Mytilus edulis: one gene and its partners. The protein of the gene in region 2 binds, or shares a complex with, the protein of the main gene of each other region. Links are inferred from orthologs where the notes say so. Each region holds a gene or a part of one and is shown on either strand. Other genes may lie near its edges.

Region 1 (7,730 bases), on a different chromosome or scaffold from region 2:
TGTATACTTTTTTGGTTTCACACTCAATGCAGTGTGATATATGCATATATGAACAAGAATTCTCTCTTCAAGCCAGTTTTAACACCACTTTTAAGCACCGCATTTAGGCTATTTCGTGGGGGCCAGTTTTTAATGGTGGACGAAGCCGGAGTGACTGGAGAAAACCATAGACCTTAGATGGGAAACCCAAACTACGAACAGTGGTAAATTATCCTGCAGATTTGATACAACTGTTCCCCAATCCCAATCTTAACAAAAACAAACCCTTTAAATGCACAGAGAGAAAAATCGGTTAAGCATAACACACGAAGGAGTGAATCTGCACCATTGCACATTTGAAACAATTAGTGCCATCAGACATTAAGATTAAGGATTGTGGATATACATGTACACAAATCTCAAGTTGGTTTACAATTTAAACAAATCTATAGGACTGAGTAACAGTTATTGATTGGCAAAATCAATCTGTGTACATGAAAATAGTTATCAAAGGTACCAGGATTGTAATTTAATACACCAGACGAGCGTTTCGTCGACATAAGACTCATCAGTGACACTCAGATCAAAATAGTTATAAAGCCAAACAAGTACAAAGTTGAAGAGGGTATCCAGTCATTCTGCCCCAAAACTGATCCAGCCCAAAGTCAATCCGGCCCATAGTTGTTCCAGCACACGTCTATCCGGCCCTATTATCATGATTATAAAATATGAATAAAATATGCTCACTATATGGAGGAATTTTTGACAAATTTGAACAGTATAAACGGAATTTGCAAAAAGTGTCGATGATGGATGACAACAGGTAAGTGAAGTATTGGAGTACCAGTTAAACTAAAGAACTATTTTAAATCGATACGAAACTGAGTGTTGTTGTGTCTGTTTGTATAGCAGCTCCAACATATTTTAAAATGTGAAGATATTTTCCATGTTGACTTTGAATGTCATCTTTGTCATGATGAATTTGAATTTATTTACTTCTCATACAGAGTAGCGAAATAAATATTTACAGTCCAATGAAACCCTTAAAATTTAACTCATCATGTCTTGTTTAACCAAATCATTTGTCAATAATTAGTCTATATATAATTGGTTTGTTTATTCAACAATTGTCTAATGATTGTGAACTAAGGTAATGTCACTCATAAATCACTTAATTCAATCAAATCCAATTGATTAAATTAATTAATTAATTGATTAATCAAAGTTACGTAAGCAACAAGGTCTTTATTGTTTGTTCTTTTGTTTGGTGTATATAATTATAAGTAATTGTATTTTTTTTCAGGTAACATCAGAGGCTTTTCTGGGGAGGCTATGGTTTTTTTTGGAAAAAAAAGTTTGTTTCCAGTTTTTGGAGAAAAAAATAATTTGTTTTTGATCAATGTTGATTCTGAGAAAAAAAATTTGTTTGTTTCACCCTCAGCTGCCACTAGATGTAATGCTAAAATTGAAAGAAATTTTTTTTTTTCGACTTGTCACGAAAAAAATAGATTGTTTTTGGCCGCAGGCGAAATAAAAAATTTGTCCAGAAAAAAAACCCATAGCTCCCCCCCAGAAAATCAAATGGTTGCTGCATTATTCCTTCTCTTGAAGCAAAAACCAAACAGGGTCATAATGTCCATCGGAACGTCTCTCTTTTTATCCTTGCAAACATACAATACTTACCGACTTTATATAGACGACCAATCAGCGGACTGCATTTACATGAACTATATTTAGTCAAAGATAAACACTCATTTACATCCTTGTTTATCGCAAGTTTAATCGTGGAAGCTGATGCATTGAACAATTATTTTTTAATATTAACCTGATTATCCTTTTTATCTTATTAATTTTTATTACTCATGCAAAAATAGCCAGCAGGAAAAGGACAATAACCGGCGAAAATCGCCGGCTGCCGGCTTCTAACGACATCACTGGGATCACAGTCAATTGAAAGAAAATGCTAATTACTGCTGATTAATGTTGATGTCTGAATTCTTTTATATACGTTTTAATATAGTTATACCCCATTATCTTGAAAACTTGTAATAAAAACATGATCAAACTGGTTGTTTTATACTCATCTAAAGAAAATATTTTTAAAAGGCCTTTTTTATTTTTTTTACGTACACCTTTTACATTATAATAAAAATCATAAACATTTATGAATTACTATTAATATATATATATCTTTATTTTTATTCCTGATGAATATATATTTTGTTGGGGCCGGATCAACGTGGGGCCGGATCGACGTGGGGCCAGATCAACCCGAAAGCGTTAAAGAGCAGTGATGTCATTTAATAAACAAATTCTTACTGTGATGTAGAATATTTATAGGAGAAAGTGCATGAATGCACCTTATCGCTATTGTCAGCTTTTACTGGACATCACACATGTTCCTAGTCCAACTAATTATGATGTCTTGATAGGCTGTTGGTATTATATTGTTTTGCTTTAGCACCTTTACAGACGTAATACGTCAAAGAAAAAAAAATATAATAGCTTTTCAAAATGTCATAATTATTTGGGCTATGACGTCAATAGTTCCAGCAGCACAGATTCTTAGGTCAATAGGCACAGATTTCCAAATAGCATTAAGGTTATTATACACATTTGAGAGGCTCATTTGTCAAATGTTGGTACGAACACATCTTACATGTATTTCCTACTTTTTGCATCTTCAGCAAATTATCCAATTCCAGAACCCTTACTGAGGGCTCTATTTTCTCATTCTCTTAGACCAATCAGAAAACAAAATGGTCAAATTGCAATATCTATTTGGAATATTTTGCAGAGAAAAGGGGGGTGTCAACCTTCGTAGTACTAATCCACAGACGGATATCGCAATATGGTTCTATTTTTTGTTTTGGTCTTTTACCTTTCCCTTTTGCTGGTCTTTTACCAGACATTTCAGCTGTTCATTTGTCTTACTTAAACGAATTACAAATAAAAGTTTCTCCTTTGCATTTGCCACCTGAAAGCGTTCAAACGACTTCGATTGAGCAACGTCGAGGAAGTGTTTATATTGACAATAACAAAAACCTGACAAACTCAGAAAATAGCTCTGTATATATTTTGTAAATATTTACAAATAGAAAAACACAAAGGTATAAAAATAACAGATATAGGTTTAAACAGCATTCTTCATTGATTGTTAAGATGTTTACCATAATGCTGATCAAAGTGCTTGGCATATGGCGTGGCTATGCTACACTGAACAAAGTCAGACATAATTTTTTTTTATATTTATAAACTAAAGTAAACAAATTATGTATATTTATTTTATTGTCAGTAGACTCTATGAGAAAGGTAGTAATTTCCTTTACCTTCAGACATCAAACTGTCATTCTCGGCTACTGTAACCCAGTGTTAGTCATGTTAGCAGAGGCGGATTTAGGGGGGCCTGGGGACCAGTGACCCCCCCTTTTTGGGGAAAATTTGCTTATATAGAGAATCACTGAAGCGTGACAGGAGTGGGCCCCCACTTATGAAAATTTCTAGATCCACCAGTGGTTAGTCATGTTAGTGTCAAATTGGTTGAACTTTTACCTTGATTTGTCAAAATATCCTTATCATGATGTCAGATGTCTCAACAAAATTTTCTTTAACATCATTTTTGGATTATTTTTTTAGAGTGATGCGTCAAAATCAGCTAGTCGAATATTTGATCGCCTAAAAGAAAGTGTAATTTTATTGTCATGCACTAAAAATTACTGTGAACGTGATTTGGCAAGAACTTTTATTGTTTATATTCATCATGAAGGTACTCCCATTACTAATCTCTACTAGAGGACTAAAGTGGGTCCCCTGATTCCAAAATTTCCTACCCCATATACCCACTCCCTTCCCCTAGGCTATATATAACTCTAAATTCCATTCTTCTAATCTTAGTATATATACTACCACTGGCACTTCACACCCCATACTCCAGCTAAAAAATGTGTCATGTATATTATCCCTTTTTATGCTACTTTGCCTCAAGTTTTTGCCCCTGACTAAATCGTAGTTCTGTTAAGAAACAAAAGTGCATAAATGAAAATATCGTAATACAGTATCACGAATTTGTATCGTCTTACTATATATACATTTTTTTTGTACAAGTCCTTGGTAAAATGAATATAATATGTATTTTTCATTGATCTGACAGTCAGTTATTGTCTGCTGTAAATAAATGAACAATTATATATAAGATAAGATATTTTTATTCCAATTAAAGGGCCCATGAAGAGCAAAACAATTTATTACAATGATTTTTATAATTGTTACAATAATGTTGACACAAATCATAAATATGAATTTAACTATTTCTTAGATGTTAATCTACAACCAGATCAGAGCCATATACATAAAAAAGGCATAAAATATACAATTTTGCCGCAAAAAAATCATTTAATTTGTAAAAAATTATTGTATCAAGCTATTGATACTAATTTTCTCAATATACATGTACAATCAACAAATGAAACTATGAATTTTAACATTATACATCATGTACATGTATATGTATTTCAAGTTAAATTATAAGCTACATGTCAGGACCTTGTAGTTCAGTGGTTGTGGTTTGTTTATGTGTTAATACATATTTTTTTTGGTTCATTTTTTGTACATAAATAAGGCCGTTAGTTTTCTCATTTGAATTGTTTTACATTGTCATTTCAGGGCTTTTTATAACTGGCTATGCTGTAGGGGCTTTGCTCACCATTGAAGGCTGTACGGTGACCTATAGTTGTTAATTTCTGTGTCATTTTGGTCTCTTGTGGACAGTTGTCTCATTGGCAATCATACAACATCTTCTTTTTATATGTTCATGTATCTTAAAAATATATCAATTGCAGTCATAACATATCTCCTTTATCAGTAGCCTATGACGTTTTGTAAAAGTCAAAGATAAAAAATACTTTTGCTTAGTGTTTCTGTCCTTAGTCTTTTTTTATTCCTCAAAATGAATACCCAAACTGTTTTATTTGGACTTTTAGCAAAGTGAATATAAGTGATCATCAATAAATTTCACAACATCATGTATTACCAATCTGTACATAGATTGTCTTCCTTCAAATGCAAAACATACAAATTATAAATAATGAGTTGTAGAACATGATATCCCTGTTTTCAAAGATAACCTTTTTTGCTGATAAAGTGTAAAACTAAACGATATATTTTATTTATCATAGATTTCAATAATGTTGATACATTTCATATTGAACAATTTTCTTATAAAATAAAGAATAACAAACAAAACATTAGCACAAACTGAGCAACTAAAAAACCAAGGAAGTTAATGATGTGTAATTTACTTCCTATATAATTTATACAATACAATATACTGTTGGTTAGGTCCGGAGTGATGGGTTACCCAATTGAACTCAAATAGACCATTACACAATTCGACCAACTGATTTTTTTTCTTCATCGTACTGCTGCTCTATAACATAGTTTATATCGTCAAATCTTTGATATCATATAATTAAAAAAAGAATGTATTTCATTTCATCAAGGATTTTTATCACATCCTTGATTTCATACTCACAAAGTTTCAGATGGTATTGATTAACCCAGTGAACAAGTATGTTCATTGAGTTTGAGTGCAGATGAAAAAGATCTTTAATTTATGCAGATCTGGATGATGCTCTCCATATTTGAAACAGTCTTCACGCTGAGTGGCACCCGAGACAGCCCAGGCTAGTAAAATTACTCTCGGCCTGTAAAAATCATATCTACAGGCCAACAGAATCTAATAAAAAAATTTCAAAAATTGAGCTCCAGGCCTGTAGTTTTTATAGTTCATCGTGAAGACTGTCATATTTGTCATATTTGTATACATATTTATTAATTGTTTAGGCCAATTGTCTATATATATAGTCTTTATTATTTTAAATGGTCATTGTTCTTTATTCTTTATATTTTAGAATCCTATTGTTTTTAAAATCATGAACATGTCTCAGTTTTCTTTATCCTATATGTTTTTGCCAAATTTTCTCCATTCTCTATTCTTAATGTTTTGTTCTTTATTCTCTATTCTGAAAGCCTCACACTATATGCAGCTTCCTGTAGAGGGATGAACATCAATTTCCTGCATAATTCATAGACAATAGACAATATTTATTAGCACAAACACATTTACATTAAGTGGTTTTGGCATGACATTATGTATAAATTGACAATAGTTAAATTGATTATAATTATATATGAATGACAGTGGTATTTACAGGGAAGAAGAAAAAGACTATAAATATCAACAGTTAACACATTATTAATGTTCATGAACAATTAAAAAAAGAACACAAACAAAAATTAGGTTGCATATTAAAAGAAATACAGCTATATAGATGTTCTCAATAAAAAACAATCATTAATATACTTTATGGTGATTTTTATAATGACTGGTAGACTGCAATTTAAAAGTGCAGTCAAATGTTTCAGTGTTATAGCAGACTGCAATTTAAATAAAATTGAAATTAAGATTTTTATTAATATTTTGTATATAGGTATCGGGGGATTCCCTCAATGATGTATAGCATGGACAGATTGAGAAGAAATGGTATTCATCCTCAATTTCTTGTCTGTTACAGGATAAGCATATGCGTTTACTTCTTTCAATGTTTGTATAACCCTCATTCAATTGCTAGAGAATGGGCACTTAGTTTAAATTTACTGAAAACTGATCGGTCAGTTTTGAGATTACATATATATCAATATATGGGGTCCTTTTTCTAATTCTTTTAGTATGACAAAAGAAATTTAAATTTCATATTTATTGATAGAGCAATTTATAATTTGATAAGCCTGGTCATAGATTCTTTGTTGGATAGTATTTATGTGATATTTTAAATTAATAGCATCAAAAGTGAGATGACCAAAACCTAATTTATTTAACCAGTCTTTAACAATGTTAACCCATTTACTTGTTTTCTCTACATTATTATATATTTTATGGACTAAAGTGTTAGGGGAGTTCACAATGTGGTTTAGAAATTTTATAGCTGAAAGCTGAATTATAAAGTACAAAGGGGTTCTGTTTGTCTCAGCTAAACAGGCTACATTTGTTGTTTTGCACTGTACTCCTAAAATTTCATATGTAAATGTTCAAATGGATCTGAATCTTTGAACACTTGGCTTACACCCCAAACTTCACTTCCATAAAGAGTTATTGAAACAACTAAAGTATCAAAATAATTTTTCAAGCATACTGCAGGAATTATCTAAGGAGACTGTTTTTTTTTATTTTAAACCAAGCCTTTCTTCCTTTTTCTATAAGATATTTTTTGAATGACTTAAACTTCCTGAACAATTTATAGTTATTCCAAGGTAACAATATGATTTAACAGTCTCAAGTTGTTCGTTTTCTACTTTAAAATAATTACAATGAGATTTTCCATTAGAATTGAATATTATAATCTTTGATTTTTGTTTGTTTACATCAAGTTTCCATAGGGAACAAAATTTAGTTAATTCTGTATAGCCCTTCTTGGGTTTCAGACAATAGAATAATGCCATCTGCATATAATAATGATGTTAGTTTGACATCTCCTATAATAATTGGTTGAGTGTTTGCATGATCAAGGTCATTTACAAGGCCATTTATATAAATATTAAACAAAGTACATCCCCTTGTTTTACTCCACAATTTGATATAAATTCATGGCTAATACCATTTTGAAATTTAATTCTGCATTTGTTTTCATTATACATTGATTGGATGACATTAAAAAGCTTGCCTGGAAGTCTGTTTTGGAGTAGGATGCAGCATA
Region 2 (7,522 bases):
AAAAAGGATATCTTCACAATTGGTTGGGAAATGTGAAAAAAGTGAAAGAATTTGGGTACACTGACCTCTGTATAACAGGAAGTGGTAAGAATTTTAATATTTCTTTAACATCAAGTCCACAATCTAACATCAGTGTTACACCTTTAAAGTGGAGTATAAAACATGGCTTGCTTGGATTGCTGGACAAACACGACTGTAATTAAAAGAAAATATCAATATGTATGTTATATGCTGATGGATTATCAAATTCATGTATATTCCATGACAAAACTTGACTATATCACTTTCTTGAATTTTTACATTGAAATCATGTTGTTCCAAAGAAATTAGTTGTCTGGGAAATGTTTCTCAGAATAGTTTTTTTATCTTTTACATGTTGCAACCGTTCTGTATTTATTTTGAATTTGGGATGTGTTTTTTTATCACCACTCAGTATTTTATTCATTTGAATTAAGGAGATCAGGTATGAACACTGACACTAGGTCAAGTAAATAATTTGAGAATAAATACATATACATGTATAATGTAATTTTATTATTCTTTTATTCACAATATATATGTGGTTTTTAGCTTGATACTAACCAATGCTTATATTCCAAATATATATGTATATGTCTCTATTATTGTTGTTGTTACCAATTATGTAAATCAATTGTATCTGATTTTTTGCCCTTTATGGGCCCTGTAATTTGGGAAATAGAAATATTCTATTCTATTCTATTCTATTCATTCAATGATTGTCGGAGTAGTTTTTAAAAAATACTTGTCAATATAAAATTATAATAAATACAAAAACTTATACCCTGCACCCCTTTTTATATTTTAGAAGGTGTTCTGATTTGGAACATCTTTTTTATTTCAGGGGAAACAAGTATTATGCAGAATAAATATATGTTCTCGTTTCTTGTTTTTTATATAGACTAGACCGTTGGTTTTCCCGTTTGAACCGTTTTATACATGTCATTTTTGGGGCCCTTTTATAAATGTTATAGCTTGCTGTTTGGTGTTAGCCAAGGCTCTGTGTTGAAGACCGTATTATGACTTATAATGGTTTACTTTTACAAATTGTGACTTGGATGAGAGAGTTGTCTCTTTGCCACTCATACCACATCTTCTTATATCTAATTACCTCTCTGTTTTTTTAGGCTCTCATGCATATTTTCTTTAAAAGATATTTAGCATAATATATAATGTCTTTTAATGTTGTCATAATTTCATTTAGGTGTTTGACCTTTTTATAGATACATGTATGCCTGGGTTTTGAAATTGACCATTAACAATGATTAATTTTGGTAACTTATCTACTTGTAGGAGTCAATATTTGCAACTTTTTAATTCAGGTCAAATATTCCTTGCTCAACACTAACCATGATAATTGACATATTGAAATACCAGGGGTCAAATTAAAGCTTTTTTGTGTACTGGCCAGTTAGACCAGTGGACTAAAAAATCTACTGGTCCTGCAAAAATGACATTCATTTGACAACCCCTTACATGACTATACTGTATAAATGATAGATTTTTACTTTTTATTTTCATGCTTTCTTTTACATATGTTAGACAGGAAAAAGAGAGAATCTCAATCCCGTTTTTGATAAAGGCTTTGATAATCTCAAAGCTTTTCTTTATGAAAATCAGAATCAATGACAGAAAAAATGTCAACATTGTCTTCCACATCATCACAATCCTCACGAAGACCATAGGGTGCCTGACTGGGTCGTCTGGAGCGCTGCCTAAAAATGTTCCACATTTCAATAGCTGGGACATTAACTTTTATTTAACAATTCACAATTTCTTCCCAGGATTATTTATATTTCATTTCCTTTTGTCAATTTCATAAACTTTATTTCAATCTTCCTTTTGAATGACATTTATTTATTTTTTTGTCCGGCAGTCCTTCCAAAAACTGATTTCCAGATAAATTTGTTAGCAAACAAACCGAAACTGCGATGCAATCAGGGATTTTTATCGACAAATTTCTACTGGTCAGCTGTACCACCAGCTGACAAAATCTAATGGTCTGACACAAATTCTACTGGTTTTGATTCACCGGACCAGCGTCAATTTCGATCCCTGTATTGAAGTCATAATTTGTCTTAAATTAAAGGGAGACGAATCTTGAAACCTACAAATTTAGACCTCTATGAGTCAAAAGCAGATTTAGACTAACATATCATGTTTACGTCTGACTGTTTATGACAAATGACAGTAACCATGGTAACAATTCTTGAAAAAATGACATTAACAGTAAATTGTTGGTGCAGATAAAACAAACCTTTTCTTTTTGATATATAAGAAAATCAAAAACTTTGTTTAAACGAATCAAGCTTAATTCTTTTCTACATGTAAAATAATGTTTTCATACCTCTGACAAACCACTATAAGGATATTTTGATAAATCACAATAAAGTTTTAACCAATACACCTTATCGCTATTTGTCCGCCATTACTGGATATTACACAGGTTCCCGTAAAAATTTAACGTCACAAAACAAAATATCTGACGCCACAATGGAAAAGTGATTGTTGTATGCGTCAAAAGTTCAAGCGGCCGGGTCAGCCTGGATTAGCGATAAGGTGTATATGATGATAAACGGTAGTCAGAAATTACTGTTCGACATCTGACAGTATTAAGGGGCATTCATATCTTCATCTTGTTCATTTTAGACTCAGTGGTCCATATAATTATGACGTCTTGAAACATGTTGTGAAAAGCTATTTCTTTTTTATTTGTGACACCTTCTTATGTCTGAGGAAGGTGTCACAGAAAAAGAAATCAAAATATACCTTTCCAGGCGTCCCACTATCTAATATGTTTTTATGAGGTTGTTATTTATATTTTTTTACATGCTCCGCAAAGGTAGTTTGATATTTAGATTTGAATTAAAATATATATTTTGTTTTTGATCTGTAAATCAACTTGCCAGCTTCATATTTTGTCTTCCAGTCAATGTGTGGTTCTTTCACTTTCGAGGGAAAATCTCGCGTCAGTAAAGTGTTTTATTTGGTGAGAAACAGAATTATAAAATGAAGATCAGAATCAATTTAGCGCTTTAGAGAACAACTTCCGGTCAAAGTGAAAGAAGAAATTGTGCTTGTTGATATATATTTTCAAAATACTTGTTAGGTGCACAAAACAAAAGGTTTGCGACGTTTTAATAATGGTTCATGCTCTTTGTTGAATAAAAGAAGGTGGTAATTTTTTGGTAAATTCAATACAAATTCTCCTAATCTGATAATTGAAACATGTGAAATAAACACTGATAAGGTTCATCATAACAAATGGACAAATATGGCAGAATTTTTAACTCAAAAATTATTCTGTGTGCAGACTTACCTGTGCAGTTTGTAAAGTTTTAAGGCCTTATATTAATATGAGGCAGGAATTACCTGTATATGGGGATGAAGTCTGTTTTATTATTTTTTTAATTCAAACATATTGATAAAAGAAACGGAAATACCATAATGTTTCCGATATTGGTTCTGTTGTTCATGTTGTTAGGGATTTAGTTGTGACGATACTTAAGTTATGAAGTCATATTCAATGTAAAGAAAGAAACGCTGTCAACCAGGTAACGTTTTTTTCATATCAAACAATTATAAAAAATGATGGGGTGTTGAATTCCTTCCTATATTTGTTGATGTGTTGATAAACATACATTTTATTCAAAGTCTCATGCCAACAAGACCATAAACGGAAGTAGATCTGGAAAAAAAGTTAACGATTTGGAGTTCATTAGTATGTTAGTAGAATGAAAAATTCGGGAAATTTTCCCGAAAATTTTAGATTTAAAAAAAAAAAAATTTTAACTGTAATTGGGGACTTCGTCCCCATATGATTAAAATATGCACTACTAGAACACTACATGTATTACTATTTCTGAAGTAGTTTGAGCCCTGTTAAGTATAATTTACTATTGTGGTAAGTGTCTGGCTGCAAAAGGCATGCCAAATTATTATTGCATCTGAACCTTGCCATTCGGATGGTAGAGAGGATGAGATTTACTGGTCAGCGTGCACACTTTTATCTTCATTCCATTTACTCACAGATGGGGAAAGGTAAAGGAAAGTCTTGTCACCCAACCTCATCTCTTCTATTCCTTGATAACTCTTTGTTGCCTTTGTTTCTTTCTCTTGATTGTAGAACTCAACTCCTATGTCACTTTTCTACAAACTTTCTATGTTATGTATGTCTTTGCATGTATAATAACAGTTTAACAGCCTATTTTTCTTAGTGCTTTGATATATATCTGTATATTTAGCTGAGTGTTGGTGTATTAGTCTACTTATCATGCTTATATATAATAATGAGTTATGATGAGTTACAGCTCAAGATACATTTGGTTAAGCACACTGAATTTCGATGAATAATTAAGGGCTTTGGATTGAAAATACATTTATCATGTTTATACAGACTTTCTTTCTCAAATTTTCACTCCTAAAAATGGCTTCAAACTTTTTGTGCAATTAAGCTGGCCATTCAGCACATTGGTTTCATCATGTTCATTATACAATTTCAATGTACAGACTTATTTTTTGGGAGCAATGCCATAGCTTAAAGATTAAGATCAATAGGCAAATTAAATTACACAAGACACAATATAGAAAACTAAACACTAAGCAACATGAACACTGACTAAAAACAGCTCTCAAATGGAGACAAATTGAATTTAGGAAGAACTCCTCAGACATATGTGTGTTCCACACTTATTTAGTTTTGTATTTGTTGTTTTCAGATCATGGCAAGTGTTGATGATACACTTCTGGTGAGACATCTCCCGTCACAGCTCTCCAATGGAGACAAGGAAGAACTCCTCAGACATTTTGGAGCAGTTAGGGTCAAAGTGATGGGCGTTAGAGGAGCAATGGTGACTACTTAAAATATATAAATATATTTACTGTAAATTCTTACATTATTACAAGGTTTATATTAATGCGAATAATGCAAAAACCTGAGTTTCCCAATAATAAGAACACACATACTTATATAGAATGCATATATCTGTACATTTGTATGTAGCTTTTCCTATTGATAATATTTATTAGTTGAAAGATTTTCCTAGATTTTTTTAATTCTAATAAACTCACCTTTCATATACTGTGAAAGTACTTTAATTCGTGGTTATCAATTTTCGTGGTTTCAGCAATATTGACATGTTCATGGATTTTTAAATTCATGGATTTAAGTTTTCTAGAAAGAAAAAAAAATTAAATTTGAAGCTTTTAGAATAGACGGTTACACTTACATGACTTACATTTGTAGTCTGGATTGAAGGAAATTGCTTAGTAAACATTGACCCTTATAAATCTTAGTGACAACACTAATTAACCCAAGATAAAGTGATCAACAAATTAAAGACCATCAAATGTGTTAATTAGGCCATAAACATGTCACCTAAACATGCTAAAGAAAACAGTAACATGAACAAATGCTATAAACATGATAAACGTATCTTGAATTGTAAAATAATTTTTATCAAAATCCAGCCCAGCATGAAATTTTTATTTCCCATATGTACTAGAACTATGAGAATATAAAATGAACACTTTATCAATACCGGAAATCTGACTTTCATCAATATAAATATTTTTATGAGAATTAAAAGATCAAAAGTTGTACAGTTTAGGTTATTAAAGATTAAATGGATATAATCCTGCATGCAGTTGTAGTTCATAGCTAGTGCATTTGCCCTGTGACTACTATCATAGTATTTTCAGATTTGGCGTTATTCAATATATATCCTCTGGATCATATATAACAGTAGTCAAACCTACATGGGTATCTTTCCATGTCTTGATTTGGACAATCGTTGTTTTATTTCGTTGGATACTTAAACTTGTGGATAAAGCCATCCTCGAAAACCACGAAATTTGGTACCCCACAAAAAAAAATACTTTCACAGTACATGATAAAGACACATGATAGATGTCAAAAATGAAACACTATAATGATTTTGAAAGTTTCAATAAGACTTTGGATCCATGATTTCACACTCAAGTAATTATAATAATTACTTTATTTAGGAAAAATAAGTTAGTACAATACATGCAATACTTATCTCCCCTGATGCCCTTTAATTTGAATATCTCAAAATACAAATGTATAACAATAATATAATTTATACTGCAATCAGCTATTTCACTATTCAGATAAAGCTATACGTATAAACGTTAGCTTTATACGTCAATGACCTCAACTAACCTATAAGCCCCGCCTTCTTACCGGAACTACTGTATTTCATCAACAACGTCACGTCACAACCAGGACAATGTGTAGTAACAATGGTCAAACTTTTATGAATTTAAACTTGTTTTGTCTTCAAATTGGTAATTTATATACCATGTTTATTAAATGTTATTATTTAAGTTCATTTTTCTTTCTAATTCCTTAAAATGTCAATGTCCTACCGCCTGAACTACGGTCATAGGGAAATACCCCAAAATGGTACCCCAAGAGGGAAATTCCAAACACTTTTTTTTTTACAATATTTATTAGGCCACGGTTTTTTAATTTGTTGGTTTACGGATTTTCCCCATGAAAAAGTCGGGTTGGTCGGTCAGGAAAAAAAAGAAAAAAAATCATCTTTGAAGACAGAAAAATATGCAAAATCAATATATATTTCACCTTTCTAACAATATGTTTGTTATGCCATTTTATCATCATTTCTTAAATTTTAGTTCAATGAAATATTATTGCTCAGCTGTTATAAACATCGCATGACATTGTCTAATAAGTTACAGTAAAAAAAAAGGGGGGTGCACGGACAAAGATGAAATTAAATCGTCATTTCAGAAACAAGAAAAATAGATTCGTGTAGCTCTTAATCAATTCCAGAAAACTTGGTGAATAATGATCTTCAAGCACGAAAACTGATAAAGAAAAAAATGTAAAAACGTCGTACGAAAATAAGTTTCAACACACGTGTCAAAAACCTAATAGACTCGTCCATTGGCAAAACGAGATTATCGGGTCAATCTGTTGTCTCGCATTCCCGTTTTTTATCCAAATGGACGATAATTTTTTTATTATCTATGAAACAAGAAAATTCCAAAGGATTTGTTAATATTCAATACTTCAACTTGATGCCTTCAACCTATCAACATTTGGACAAGTCTATTTCTATGAGATGATGCATCTTACGGACTGATGACAAATAAGGAAAACGAACTTATTGTGTAATTGGTTTTAAACACAAGTTTCGTTCCGCAAAATTATTTGTGCAAACGACATTTCAAGGTCAGTTATTATGATAATTGATTTGTCTATATTTAAAAACGTAAACTGGAAGTTTTATTTTTTCACAACAGCAAGTGTTATCAATTTTGTTAGTGATTAATGCATTTCATTTCATAAAAAAAAATTATTTTAATTATTTTTCAGGGATAATGCATTTCTTAGGGTCGGCGGGAATAAAAAAGCATGAAAAGTCAATTTTATTTTTATTCTGGAAATCGGCAAAATCGGGTTGGCGGATCCGTAAACCAACAAATTAAAAAATCCTGGCCTTACATACTTTTTTTT
Region 3 (6,944 bases), on a different chromosome or scaffold from region 2:
ATGTAATTTTTTGTGTCTAAATAAAATGAAATATGACGAAATAAAACTAAAACGATGCTTGTCGGATTTGTAGTTTTCATAATATATATATATATCAATTCTTGGTGTATGGCCACATTTTTAAAAAAATGTTGGTTTGCCAAAGCCAGACTGCCATATAAAAGACTGGGTCTAAAGGTAGGTTATGTTTTTCTTTTTTTTTCTTTGGGGTGGGGGAGGAGGAATGTTAATTGACTATTTAATAATAAACTCAGTAAAAGAAGTTTTCTTTGTTCTTATTGGTGATTTTTTAGTTATAAACTGGACATTTGGTCCAGTAATGATTAAGATACTTATACTAGACTTAAATAACCCCAAAAAAATATAGAATAACTTTACAAATTAACCCCATCTCCTTTACACCCTTTTCTAATCAGTGGCAGATCCAGAACTTTTTGTAAGGTGGGCCCACTCCAGTCACGCTTTAGTGATTCCCTATACAGGGTTGTCAATAAGATTTAAAGTAGGAGGTTAAATAATAAAAGTAGCAGGCAACACCGGCGGACGGCGTAGCCGTTCGGCGCGACGAGCTTGCTCGTTGCCCTTCACGGCGAGGGGTCTGAATTTTTTTTTAAAATGGTGCAAAATCCTGCACCCTGGGGGGCTCCTGAACTCTAATTTTGTTCTTCGCAAACACCATTTTTTTAATGATGATAAGGTAAATGAGCAGCAAGATGGTCATATTTTCTATAAAGTTGATCACATATCATCAAGACTTTCAGCTAACAAGTTATTGAAGTTGTTTGCAGGTTTTTGAGGAAAATAATGAAGGCATGACTCTGTAAGACATGGTGATCATTCAGGAAAAGATTTAAATTTGATTTTATTAGTTGAAAATATTTTTAATTTAACTGTAGACATGCAATTATTCAAATAGTTCTAACCCATAGAAAACATTTTTCAGTATTAATAATTTCAAATACTTATCACAATAAATCAAATGATGAATTCAATGGACTGTTGTTTAAAGGCAAAAAGGATGCACTTTGGTGAAATTACAATAATCAAATAAAATTGATACCATAATTCAGAAGAGCATTAGTTAAGAAGCAAACAAAAGGAAAGAAAGAAATCTAAGATCTGCTTACATTTTGGTATTAAAATGAGTTTTTGTGAGTTAATAATTGAAGTCTTTTATTAAAGAAAGGAAAAATGGGATTATCATGGTCATAGGTCAAAATATTTTACCCTGTATCATAGGGGAAAACCCAGAGATTAAACATCTGACAGAAATTCCAGAACCTGGTCAAAGTACATCCTTGAATGCATAATGCAAGACTCACACTTCTTTATAATCATAGGGAGACATCATCCTCATCCTCATCCTCACTTTTTATTATTATTACTTGGATCAGGTTAGTCAGGGCATGATTGTGTCAGGTGGTGGCATGCTCCTAGTCCTAGTATTTATGACTCTATTTGAAGCTACACAATGACATGCAAACGAGCTATCTCTACATTTTTTTCTTTCATTTCAAAAGAAAGGCCATGGGACAGGTAAACATATGATTTATGATTTATGGTAAAAATAAAGAGTCTGCTGTTAAGAGGCTCTATCACTTGAAAACAAGAAAGTGAATATCACTTAATGAAAATAATAATGTGATGTCTGCTTTTACGAGACAAGACATTGCTCTTTTTTTCATTTCATGGTAGGACCACGATCATGCACTTTCATGAACATGACCAAGGAGGGTGTCTCAATTATTTGAATGCAAATGTCATAGAACAAAACTTTTTTTCACTTTGTTGTTGATTGAAAAAAATCTGAAATTATTTTCATTTCTCTGACTATGCTATTGACTGGTTACAAAATCTCGTTATTACTATGAATGCATCCTTTTCCTGGTTTCAGTACAAAATCTTATAGTACTTTGCAGCGAAATCAACAACCAGGATCTATTTTACCGGAAATTCAATTTTATTAACCAATCAGAAATGCCGTTATATATTTCTCTTGATTGTCCTAGATAGTGACCGACGATCTAAAACTAAAAGTACGATTTATATTTTTTTGACATCAGAAAAACAACCGATGGGAATTTGATTATAAACGACCATTTCAATCGGCAATCGGTTCTTAATGAATACGCTGCTATATAAGCAACCAAATTTGCCAAAAGGGTCCCCTGGATTCGCCTATAGATGTTAATTAAATTGGTGTAGATGAAATTATATATATCAAGTTTAACTATTCTCCTAGCACTCATCTTGGGACTCAGGGGATACAATCAGGACGCGTCCCAGGAATTCATGGGTTTCAAAAATTATGCATCCTGCTCGATTGCCAGAGGCGGATTTAGGGGGAAGGGGCCCGGGCCCCCCCTTTTTGGGAAAAAATTTGGTTGCTTATATAGGGAATCACTGAAGCGTGACTGGAGCGGGCCCCCTCTTAGGTCAGTCAGTGGGCCCCCACTTATGAAAATTTCTGGATCCGCCACTGATTGCCATGCATCCAGAATGTGTATACGCGTCTTTACGAGAACCCTGTATATGCATGTATGCGTAACAACAAGTCATTCTATGAGTAAATTCCATGAATACCATAATGTCTTTTTTTTCTTTTTTTCCTGAAATGCATAAAAATCAATTTTATGGTTTTCTTCAGAAAATTTCTATTTATTGCATGTTATTTTATAACTGAGATGTGAGTAACAGCACAGGCATTTGTTTCTGTCAATATGGGATTTACATATATAGAAAACCCCATATTGATAATCATATTGACAGAAACAAGTGCCTGTGAGTAACAGTTAGCCTCAGCAGTTAGCCTGAACATTGTTGTTGTATAATGCTATCCTAGACTTACCGATTAGATAATGTTAATGCTGCTATTAATCTACCCACAGAAGTGACTGTCAGTAATAAATACGTCAGTTAAACTAACATTTACTGCAAAACAGTAACATTTGATGAACAGATAAATTACTTTTTTTACAATTTCCACAAACCGGAAGTTACTTTTCTAAACCCCGAAACGGTTACGTTCAGATTGAGATGAACAGCAAGCGGAGTGGTGTTAATCATTTTATGAAAATATCTTTTCAAACAAAATCAAACATATTGTAAACCAATCATAAAGTTTTATTCAAAGTACCATGTCTATAGAATTTGCACAATATTATGAAAGATAAAAATACATTGGTTAATAGTGTGACGTCCAGTGACAAATATTTCACTTTTATATCCAACCGAAATAGAAAACAATTTATAAATTACGTGATTTGATTTTGATTCTAGAAAAATCCATTTATAGGGCCATAGAGCTTCTTGAACATAAAACGAAAATGAACAAATCACTTCACAGAACATTTAGAATTAAGCAGCTGGTTTACTGACCGGTCACGGTTACGAAATGCCAAAAAAAGAAAAGGAAACAAACCAAGTGACACAAATATTCAACAACGATAGCGTATGTTAAACTCACTACGAGATGGGTCAACTTTTTCAAAAAGAATCCGTGGTGAACTTTTTAACAAAGTTGAAATTTTGACATTTCGACATACTCGAAATTTCAACTTTCAGTCAAAGGAGTCAGATCCGCCGGTAAGGGCCGATTATGGCCTCACATTTCAGGTTCATCTGATGCCCGGAAAGAATTTGGACACTTTTTTTAACACTTAAGTATCTACTTCAGTCGATTCAATTAGTTTATGTGAAAGATTTGAACTGATTTGGTCAGTCACTTTTCAGATGGTTTTGTCACAAATCACGTTCACTCTCAAACTTTGTATATGTTATGTAATATCATCAAATGAAACTAACATAATAAAAGTCATTAAAAAGGAACACAAATGCGGCCACTTTCATTTGAAGACGGAAACCGTCTAAAATCTAACTCAAATTATAAAATTGATAAGATTTCAGTTATTTATCCGATGACTTAATGATGTTAATATCCGATATATGTGCATCATTTGTATTGTCAAAAAACAGCCCATATTTATGTAATATAAGCATTCTACTTTCCAATAAATAGCCAAAAGTTTACATTTTAAAAATTATGTAAAACTGCTATGGTTTGGGGCCAAAAGGGGGTCTTAATGGACCTACTCCTTTCACAAAGTTTTGACTTTAACTTGAAATTTTGCCTTTTATATATTTAAAAATTTCGACGTCAAAATTTCGATTATAAACGTACTCGAAATTTCGACTTTAAATTTCAACTGACCTTTGGACATATAGATATGACGACTTTTATAAGCATATAAGTATTACAATTTTAGGAGGATACATCGACGCACATTTTTCAAGCGTCATCCCGCCATTGTGCATTTTTTGACAATATTTATTCAGAAATTGGTTTTATTCTCAAATTATGATATGAAATTTTCACTTTGAAGGGCTTATATGCAAGAATGGATTAGCATTTGGAAAGGATTGTTGGTATAGCAATTGTATATTGTTTATATGAGAATTTGAAGCTTTGTTTTTAATCTCCCTTTTTGAAGGATTTATGAGGTAGACATTTAGAGTTTGTAAAGCATAGCAATTGTGAACTAATATCGATCTGTATTGAAATATTTGCCACTGGAAGTCAAGCATCCAAGAATCATTCAATGATTTGTGTCCGGGATAACATGTAGCTGTTCTTCGCACTTGTTTCAATATGAATGTTTATTGTATTTTCTGATGTGCATGGGTCCCAAAGAGTGCAACAGTATACCACATTGCTTGTCCGACTATCGTTTGATAAGCAATTTATAGGCTTGTAGCTATTTTTGTATGTTTTGCCAGATGAATGATATACACTAGTTAACTGTTGCGTCAATATGTTGTAAACAGGGGGTCCCAACCAAGGACAAAAAGGGGGGGGGGGTCCAACTATATATCCCCATTCAAATGCATTGATCGTCAAAAAAAGGGGGGTCCAACCCCCGGAACCCTCCCCTGGATCCGCCACTGTGTAAAGGTGTGTTATATTTGAGGCCTGAATACTGTATTATTCCTAATCATTTGTCAGTTTGGACTTAAATTGTTCTTAAATGCGGCCATGCAAGTTGTAGTAAATCTGCATACGTTTTTTTATTCTAAGCCGAGAAACTGAGGATGTAAATATTGAATAACGTCATGAGACAGTCTCGTCTACAATTGAAGTTGGTTGGATGTCTTTATGAAGCTTTTTAATGTCTTAGTTTAAAATAATAGGCTGGTATTAAATGATGATGCTTACTATACAAAACCACATGCTCCGCAGGGCGCAGCTTTATACGACCGCAAAGTTCGAACCCTGAACATTGGGGCAAGTATGGACACAACATTCAAGCTTGATACAGCTCTGAATTTGGATTGTGATTAAATAGTTGACACAACACAGGTTTCTGACACATGATGAATGTGGTCTAAGAACTTAAACTTTAAAACTTTAAATTTTAAATTGGACATTACCTATTATGGTCCAATATCCAAAATCTAAATACATGGTTAGATTCAGCATATCAAAGAACCCGAAGAATTCAATTTTTGATTGAAATCAAATAAAGTTCAAATTTGGACCCTTTAGACCTCAATGTGGACCAATCAGATAACCGGGCCCAAACATCAAAAATCTAAATACATGGTTAGATTAAGCATATATCAGAGAACCCCATATATACAATTTTTGTTGAAATCAAACAAAGTTTACCGCAATTTGGACCAACTTGAAAACTGGGCCTATAATCAAAAATCTAAGTACATGTTTAGATTCAGCATATCAAAAAACACCAAGAATTCAATTTTGTTGAAATCAAACAAAGTTTAATTTTGGACCCCAATTTGGACCAACTTGAAAACTGGGCCAATAATCAAAAATCTAAGTACATGTTTAGATTCAGCATATCAAAGAACCCCAAGAATTCATTTTTTGTTAAAATAAAACTTAGTTTAATTTTGGACCCAAATTTGGACCAACTTGAAAACTGAGAAAATAATCAAAAATCTAAGTACATGTTTAGATTCAGCATATCAAAGAACCCCAAGAATTCATTTTTTGTTAAAATAAAACTTAGTTTAATTTTGGACCCAAATTTGGACCAACTTGAAAACTGAGAAAATAATCAAAAATCTAAGTACATGTTTAGATTCAGCATATCAAAGAACCCCAAGAATTCATTTTTTGTTAAAATAAAACTTAGTTTAATTTTGGACCCTTTGAACCTTAATGTAGACCAATTTGAAAATGGGACCAAAAAATTAAGAATCTACATACACAGTTAGATTCGGCATATCAAAGAACCCCAATTATTCAATTTTTGATGAATTCAAACAAAGTTTAATTTTGGACCCTTTGGGCCCCTTATTCCTAAACAGTTGGGACCTCAACTCCCATAATTAATCCCAACCTTCCTTTTGTGTTCATAAACCTTGTGTTTAAATTTCATTGATTTCTATTTACTTGTACTAAAGTTATAGTGCGAAAACCAAGAAAAATGCTTATTTGGGCCCCTTTTTGGCCCCTAATTCCTTAACTGTTGGGACCTCAACTCCCAAAATCAATCCCAACCTTCCTTTTATGGTCATAAACCTTGTGTTTAAATTTCATAGATTTCTATTTACTTATACTAAAGTTATAGTGCGAAAACCAAAAGTCTTCGGACGCCGTTGCTGACTACGACGCCAACGTGATACCAATATACGACCAAATTTTTTTTAATTTTTGCGGTCGTATCAAAATCTTGTTTGGCTGTGTTTTAGATACTATTCTAATATGACGTGCTTCTTTCGCTTTGTAAACAACACCGTGATAAAATTCTCGATATATCTATACTTAGCGCAGACTCCAAGATGTACACAAATGGCTGTTTAAATATGCCTCCCACGTAAATCCACATGTATCGTAACCTATGTGTAAACGGTTGTTGATTTCGCCGTATTAACAATTACACTTGAATAAAACCCTACAGAACATTTATTCTGATTCTGAT
Region 4 (7,840 bases), on a different chromosome or scaffold from region 2:
TGATCAATTAAAGTCATTTCAATTGAATATTTTATAGCGTCCTTTTATGTTGTAATGTTACAAAATTGTCTCAGACAAGGGTGAAGGTTGGCACCAGTTTAAACATTTAAACATATTGCATTTTCAAGCACCTGTTTTTAGTCAGGAGTCTGTTGTTCAGTGGTTGTTGTGTGCCGTTGTGTTTCAAAGGTGTTTCTCCTTTCTCTTTTTAATATAAATCATAGTTGGTTTTCCTGTTTAAATTGTTTTACACTGGTCATTTTGGGGCCCTTAAATCTAAAATTTGCTGTTCAGAGTGAGCTAAGGTTCTGTATTTAAGGCTGTACTAAGACCTTAAATTGTACTTTTTAAACATTATGTCTTGGAAGGAGAGTTGTCTCATTTGCACTCATACCACATCTTCTTATCTCTATTACATAGATATAAAAAGAATTGGTATGAGTGCCAATAAGACAACTCTCCTTCCAAGTCACAATTTATAAAAGTAAGCCATAAGGTCAAAGTATGGTTTACAACGTTAATGTATATTACCTGCTTGTGCTATACACAATACATCAGATACTTCTTCAAGGTAAACAATGCTCTCCAGTAATTCTGATGACTTGAAATAAAATTCTGCCTTGTTTTCTTTCATCTGAAGCAATATAATATTGACATTGTAATAAAAGTATAATTTTTTTCATTATAAACGCTGGTTGCCAAACACAATAACATAGATCATGTAGATCTACTCTCATCATCATTTTTGAAGCAGAAACTAAACAAATCTGGTTTATATAGAAACTGCATTGTATTTCTTTATAAAACATAATTTAATTTTGGATGTAACGTGTCTTCTGATTGGCTGACGTTATTTTGTTATCAGCCCATAGACATAATTTAGTCATGTGATTGTGACGTCATCAACGTTTTTTCATGGTTTTCTACAGTTTAAAATGGAATTTAGAATTAAATTATAAGAAATGACTGTAATATTTTTTCTGTCTATTCGAAATAACCTAAAAAATGTGGTGCACACTGTTAAATAACCTGCTACGCGCGTTATTCAGTGTGTACCACATTTTTTATGTTATTTCTTCATAGACAGAAAAAATATTACAGTCATTCCTTAAATGTTAAAAATTGACAGTCTTCAACCCTCACTCAACAGTATATACTGGTATACTGCATATTCTTTATTATTCATTAAATACCATTTTTTGTGGATTTCGTGGGTACAGTTGAACTATGAAATTAAATTTTGTAAGAATGATAAATGTTCTTTATGCTTGTATGCAGACTTCGACAATACCATGAATTTTTAAAAACATCCACAAGTTTTCGTTAATGCATGAAAATTGATACCTCCCTCTGATTCTCATACATAATGTTGTTACTTAATTAAAACTTTTGATGTCTTTAATGAAGTTGAATATTCACAATAGAATAACATTGAAAATTCAATGTTGATTGTTTAACATGCTCAATTTACAAATGATAAGATAATTAACCTGTGATGCTACAAAGAGAAGTTCACTTAATAGCAGACGAATTCTACGAGCATGGTCACTTCTTTCAAACTCCATAGCAAGCCCACACTGTAACTGAGATATCAGGACACTGTCAGTCTGTGATGTACCAATCTTTGTCCTGCAAGGAATAAGGTAAAAAATTTAAGATTATTATCAAGGAAAAAAACAAATATGTCATCACTTCTGAAGGTATGGAGAGTTAATCTGGAAAACAATTTGCTCATCAATACTTACATGTACAATAACTCTTTTATCATGTTTATTGTGGGGACAAAAACTCCAATTGCAGCAGGAAAATCAATAATAAAAAAACATCAATGTACCTATGAACTCAAAATCATGAACTTTTTATTTTCCCGCATTTGTGCAGAAATGTCTTTCTTTCTTCTGGTCTCAATATTGTCATGAGACTGAATAAAATATACATGTATGTTAATTCATTTATTGTTATTGAGGAACATGAGGAAGGAGCAGAATAACAATTTTGTTTTTATTAATTCTTTGTATACAATGAAAATGAAGTCATAACTTAAATGATGCACAACTAAAATCCCTAACAGGGTTCTCGCTAAGGATTTTTGAAGGCGAGTCCAGGGACTCGTCATTTTTGGCCATGGTGAGTCCAACAGCAAGAAGAATATATTTTATTGCAATATAATGTAATATTTTATCCTCCATGGCCTAACAGAGCAATGAAATGACATTAAATTCAGATTACTTTTAAAACTTTTGCTATAAAATGATGATCATGATGATATTTGTGTTTTACTGTGTTCAATTTATACAAAATATTTCAATATTGATGCATCTTTGGACTCACTAGTTTTGAGAATGGTGAGTCCAAACAGATTTTGATGAGTCTAGGACTCATGGACTCGCTTTAGCGAGAACCCTGCCTAACAACAGGACCAACATAGGAAACTGTAAGATATTTTCGTTTCTTTTTGAACAGATTTTTAAATATGTTTGAAATAAAAAAAAATGATTAACTTTATCCTCTTTCACGGGTAATGCCTGCCTCATATTATTGCAACGTGATTGTAGCCAGTGCCTTACTCAGTAACTCACTACTGTTTTTAGGGGTGTACCTGAGCTGTTGTTCTTTTTTAACGTCTTGTTCTAAAGCATGGAAATCAATAGATAGCAATGCCACAATGCCATTCACAACTTCTATCCCAGATAAGATTTTTAAGACTTCTTTTTTAGCTTTTGTCCAGTTGGAGCTCTCATCAAGTGGTTTACACAAAGCCATTCTAACAAGACATGGAAGAACTGGACGCAAATCAAATTCCTTCGAATCACTCAGTGAAGAGATGTCAACATCTCGTACTGCTCTGAAGATTTCGGGTTTAACACTACACTTTAGATTCTGCATTGTTATTGCTAAACCTAAAAAAATGTAAAGGATTTACAAAAATTTTAAAAGTCAAAATTTTTTCATGGGGGCAGCCATTTTGCTTTCTCAACGTCAGTCTGACGCTTTGTTGTAATTGCGTTTCTTACAAGCGCGAAGAAGACATAGATCATATTTTTGTTATGGCTGCAGCTGCAAGACAGAATTCCTCCCATGGTAAAATAAGTGCTAATGTTGCTCTAGATAACAACAGACCCCAAAATAAATAGTTCCCCTCTAACCTTATAGTTCTGTCATGCATATTGTTGTTCATAAATACTTATCAATGCCAGAACAATATGAAAAGCAGTTTGAAGTGGATACAAAGCTTTTCACAACTCAAACAGCAAAAATACATTAATTCATTCAATAAATATATTTTATGACCCTGCCATAAGGTGGCTAAGGCTGTATAGTTCTACCCTTATCTGCCATTTGGTCATTCTACTACAAACAGTTATACACATACATGGGTCCAGCCTTTCTCCTAAACACCAAATAATTGGTCAGATCATATGTTATTGTATTCATATATGAGGGTGGTAATGGGGATACCTTCATGACGAATAACGATAAAATTCTAGCCAAATTTAAACGTAAAAGGTAATTTTAGATGCATGACGATATTAAAATGTATACTTTCTTTTAGGGGATAAAAAAATCGACTGATTTTGACGAATCACGTTAAATTTTTCTCAAAAATGACGGTAAGGATAATCATTTGACACCATTGACGAATCACGGTTCACCATAAGGATATTTTGACGATTCACTGTAAAATTTTAACCAATTTGACGCTAACGGTAGCTGGAATTGAACATTTGACGCCTGATGGTAAAGGCCATTACTACCCTTATATGTAGTTTTTCTTACAAGGAGAGACAAGATGGAATAGAACGTAAATTATAGCAAGATCAGCTGAGCAAGATGTTTCCAGAAAGAAATTTTTTTATAAATGGGGTCATGAGGATTGACATGATTGAATTTACAAAGAATGGAAATCATCTTTTGGGGAAAACACTGAATATCATTAAGAATGCTGTATCTTTTAAATAAAAAATAATTTCTTTTTCAGAAGCAGATGAAAGAGTGAGATTTCAGACAGAGTTAGAATTTGTACAATGTTTGGCTAATCCGAATTACCTTAATTGTGAGTATACAATGACAGTAAAAAACCAATTCTAATTGAGAATGTGTCTTTGGGACAGATGATGCCCCATACTTGCATATAACATTGTAAAGTGACATACATCCACAACTGTTAAAGTGACAACACCTATATTCTTAAGTTAGAGAACGGAAACAAACTTAGGTATGTATCGATGAGCAAGGGCAACACTGAATGTCAAATGTAAAACCTTTTTAGGTTGGATGACATCTACTGTTAATATTAATTTGTAACTGTTAATATTCTATGTTAGATGCTCAGTCATTTGCAACAAAACTGCCCAGATGACAATAATTAGATATCTCAAAAGTTTATTTTTAACATGAAGATATATTTTTTTATATTACATGAAGGAATACACACTGACGATTTGCCACTGATTTAAATACATGTAATACAAGCTTGGCTACAATTTGAAAAAAGTTTGTTTGCATAGCAAAAGAACTTTTGTCCTGCAATGTACGTGCCACCAAAACTGGCAAAGACCCCTTAAAGAGTCATGAGAGTTGTTACAAGAATTCTTTAATTTTCAGTTATTATTTTCTCTCCCAATATGAGCCATGTAATTTTTTTATCATTGATTTATTAAGATTGCAATTGCATATTTTATCCTTGTTATGTGTTGTGTGAACAGTTTTAAGTTAACAGAGCTGTAAAAATATACTGTTCAATTTTATTTTTTTATAGTTTTAGCACAGAGAGGATTCTTCAAAGATCAGACATTTATCAACTACCTTAAATACCTGCAATACTGGAAAGAACCTAAATATGCTAAATACCTCAAGTAAGTTTGTACAAAAATGTACAATAGTGAATTTTTGTAGGAATCTTGTTATACTGTAGATTCATTTATTTTTGTGTATTCCAATTTTTGTGGATTTTTATGTGTTCCAATTTTTGTGGATTTTTTTATGTGTTCCAATTTTTGTGGATTAAGAAAATCTTGCATTTTCGTGGCTATTTGATATCGTGATTTTGCCAATACAATGTACATCCTTATACATGTTATAGAAAATCTGTAATTCTTTGAACATTTATACTTGTGGTTTATCTGTACCCACGAAATCTTCAAAAATTAGTACCCCACAAAAAAACAATATATCCACAGTAGTAGATATTTTACGAAAAAAAAAATAATTATAAATTCAACAGAAAAAAATTGTTCTCATTATGACCTGACATTTACTTGCTCAATGCAGGATATGAATGAGATTTTCATTTCCAGAAGTTGACAGATATGCCTTGTACAGTACACACAAGGAGTTGCAAATTCTTTATGACGTTATGTTAAATGTTCATGTTACAAGTTGACAAATAAACACTGTATGAGTTATGATACACCAAGCAATATCTGCTTTAAAGATTAAGACTTTCCCATTGTATAACTAGTTTGTAATTATCTCTTGCAATATTTAATTTGTTTTCATTATTTTTATTTCATTTTCAGATATCCCCAATGTTTACATTTATTGGAGCTGCTACAATATGAACACTTTAGAAAAGAATTAGTGAATTCACAATGTGCTAAGTTTATAGACGATCAGCAACTCTTACATTGGCAGCATTATCAGAGGAAACGCATGAAGTTATTGATCGATGAAGCGGAACGACACAAACAAGATCAAAAAGATAAAACTAGCTGACACAGCAATAATAAATGTGTTGATTTAAAATTAATCGGTCAGAGATATTCTCTGAATTGTAATGGCAGCTATGTGGATGGTCAAAATTATTGTCATCTCTTAAACATCCAAAACGAACATTTTTATGTGTAAAATTTTTCCGAGGTTGATACTTGTCATAGACGTAACATGTACATGATGTATTTAGCAGGAAATTTTTTCATCTCTGTTCATAGTTTTTAGGCAGTTTTATAAACTGTATAAAATAAAGAGATGTTGTATAGAGATATTGTATTTTCATTGAACAGAAGTTTCTTTTTGATATCTGTTCCAAACATTTCCCAAATAGGGCCTAAATTTATATATTGTTTGTTTCCCCAATCCCAATCCTCCGCAGCCAGATATGGGTAGGTACATGTAGGTAGCGAAATAATTTTAATTTTCCAAACAGTTTGAACATTATCGGACGATCAGGTAAGCCTGAAAATCAGAAATGAATAAAATAATATTGGACTTAGATTTGACAATACAATTTTATATGTAGCACCACATTTTCAGGGTCAGTCGGGATTGGGGAAACAAACAATATTTTATTTTTAGAAGAAATATTAAATCTAATGTGAACAGATGATATAGCTTTATTTATCATGTTTATAACCAAGTTTCCATACAAATATTTGGCAGGCACAATATTTACTCATTGTTGAAGGTAGTACAGTGACCTATAGTTGTTAATGTCTGTGTCATTTTGGTCTCTTGTGGACAGTTGTCTCATTGGCAATCATACCACATCTTCTTTTTTATAGAACAAATATATGTTAACAGTATGACTGCCAATAAGTCACCTATCAAGAAGTGTAAAAAAGATGTTGGAAACTAGCTGTGTTGGTCACTGTTCCACCTTCAACAATAAGCAAAACTCATACTGCATATCATGCTTTTTCAGGCCTAGATTTACTAGTTTGTATTGTGGCTATACACTGATTTCTGAAGCTCTCGTCCAGGTGTTGGATTTTCTTGATGTGTTGAAGACCCATTGGTGGCCCTAGTCTGTTTTCTGCTTATGGGTAGGGTTCTTGTTTTTTTGACACATTCCCCATTTCCATTCTCTATTATATTTATTATTATGGTTTACATTTGTCCATTTATTTGTCATCTCTCCCATGAAATTTCTCTTTTTCCTCTGAAATTACAAATAAACTCATCATAGATACCAGCATTAAAATTTTACACTTACGCCAGACGCACATTCCATCTACAAAAGACTCGTCAGCTTTCTGAATTTTCATGCATAAATCATCTTAAAAAGAAGATGTGGTATGATTATCAATGAGACAACTCTTCACAAGAGACCAAATGACACAACTAGTCAGAGAGGCTTGAATAAAAAGAGTTACCAAGACCAAAGGAAGTTGAAGAGCAGTGATTTCAAAATGTTCTGCCAATTTAATACATACCAGAGCCTAATCATCTGTATATAAGATTTGTTCCTGTTCTTTATACTCAGTAATGCAAACTATATACATAATGGTTTACTTTTACAAATTATGACTTGGATGAAGAGTTATCTCATTTGGCACACATCTTCTAATATCTATATATAAACATTTGAGTGATAATATTGTTAAAATAACTGAATTACAAATTACAAGTTTTTTTGGTTTTGCACTGAATTGGGATGGAAGAAAGATAAAAGAAGATGCGGTAAGATTGCCAATGAGACATTTCTCCACATGAGACGAAAATGACACAGAAATTAACCACTATAGGTCACTGTACGGCCTTCAAAAATGAGCAAAGCCCATACTGCATAGTCAGCTATAAAAGGCCCCGAAATGGCAATGTAAAACAATCCTAACAAGAAAAGTAACGTATTTATGTACAACAAAATGTGTTTACAATTTTTAAAGTTCAAGTAGAATTAAAAAAGTCACGTCTATTTTTCTCACAATTGAAATAAGGAACTTCCTGTGGATCTGTATAAATAAGTAAAGTGCTAAGAGGCCCCTCATGGGGGTGTCCTAGTAATCACATAATTACAAATGTTTTGCCAATATCACATAATCATTATGGTTTTTTTTTAAACAAGATAATTAAAATTACAGTTACATTTTATAAACTAATAAAATGATCATGAAATATTTGG

What was found.
Region 1: integrator complex subunit 9-like (region 2) and integrator complex subunit 1-like share a complex: the UniProt entries of both Homo sapiens proteins name them as parts of the integrator complex. The link is inferred for Mytilus edulis from reciprocal best matches to the Homo sapiens genes INTS9 and INTS1.
Region 3: integrator complex subunit 9-like (region 2) and integrator complex subunit 12-like share a complex: the UniProt entries of both Homo sapiens proteins name them as parts of the integrator complex. The link is inferred for Mytilus edulis from reciprocal best matches to the Homo sapiens genes INTS9 and INTS12.
Region 4: integrator complex subunit 9-like (region 2) and integrator complex subunit 2-like share a complex: the UniProt entries of both Homo sapiens proteins name them as parts of the integrator complex. The link is inferred for Mytilus edulis from reciprocal best matches to the Homo sapiens genes INTS9 and INTS2.

What each region holds. Positions count from the first base shown.
Region 1 is NC_092352.1:85,422,444-85,430,173, forward strand, and holds the start of integrator complex subunit 1-like, read right to left. Parts: upstream 3,005-7,730; 5' UTR 2,892-3,004; coding exon 2,861-2,891; intron 1-2,860. UniProt on the Homo sapiens protein: Component of the integrator complex, a multiprotein complex that terminates RNA polymerase II (Pol II) transcription in the promoter-proximal region of genes.
Region 2 is NC_092357.1:9,158,440-9,165,961, forward strand, and holds the start of integrator complex subunit 9-like, read right to left. Parts: upstream 3,028-7,522; 5' UTR 2,934-3,027; coding exon 2,925-2,933; intron 194-2,924; coding exon 66-193; intron 1-65. Other genes in the region: RNA-binding region-containing protein 3-like, read left to right, coding at 4,740-4,868. UniProt on the Homo sapiens protein: Component of the integrator complex, a multiprotein complex that terminates RNA polymerase II (Pol II) transcription in the promoter-proximal region of genes.
Region 3 is NC_092350.1:30,145,103-30,152,046, forward strand, and holds the start of integrator complex subunit 12-like, read right to left. Parts: upstream 3,014-6,944; 5' UTR 2,849-3,013; intron 1-2,848. UniProt on the Homo sapiens protein: Component of the integrator complex, a multiprotein complex that terminates RNA polymerase II (Pol II) transcription in the promoter-proximal region of genes.
Region 4 is NC_092349.1:27,278,484-27,286,323, forward strand, and holds the start of integrator complex subunit 2-like, read right to left. Parts: upstream 3,008-7,840; 5' UTR 2,887-3,007; coding exon 2,600-2,886; intron 1,630-2,599; coding exon 1,491-1,629; intron 635-1,490; coding exon 532-634; intron 1-531. Other genes in the region: mediator of RNA polymerase II transcription subunit 31-B-like, read left to right, coding at 3,048-3,081, 3,980-4,054, 4,760-4,856, 5,520-5,715. UniProt on the Homo sapiens protein: Component of the integrator complex, a multiprotein complex that terminates RNA polymerase II (Pol II) transcription in the promoter-proximal region of genes.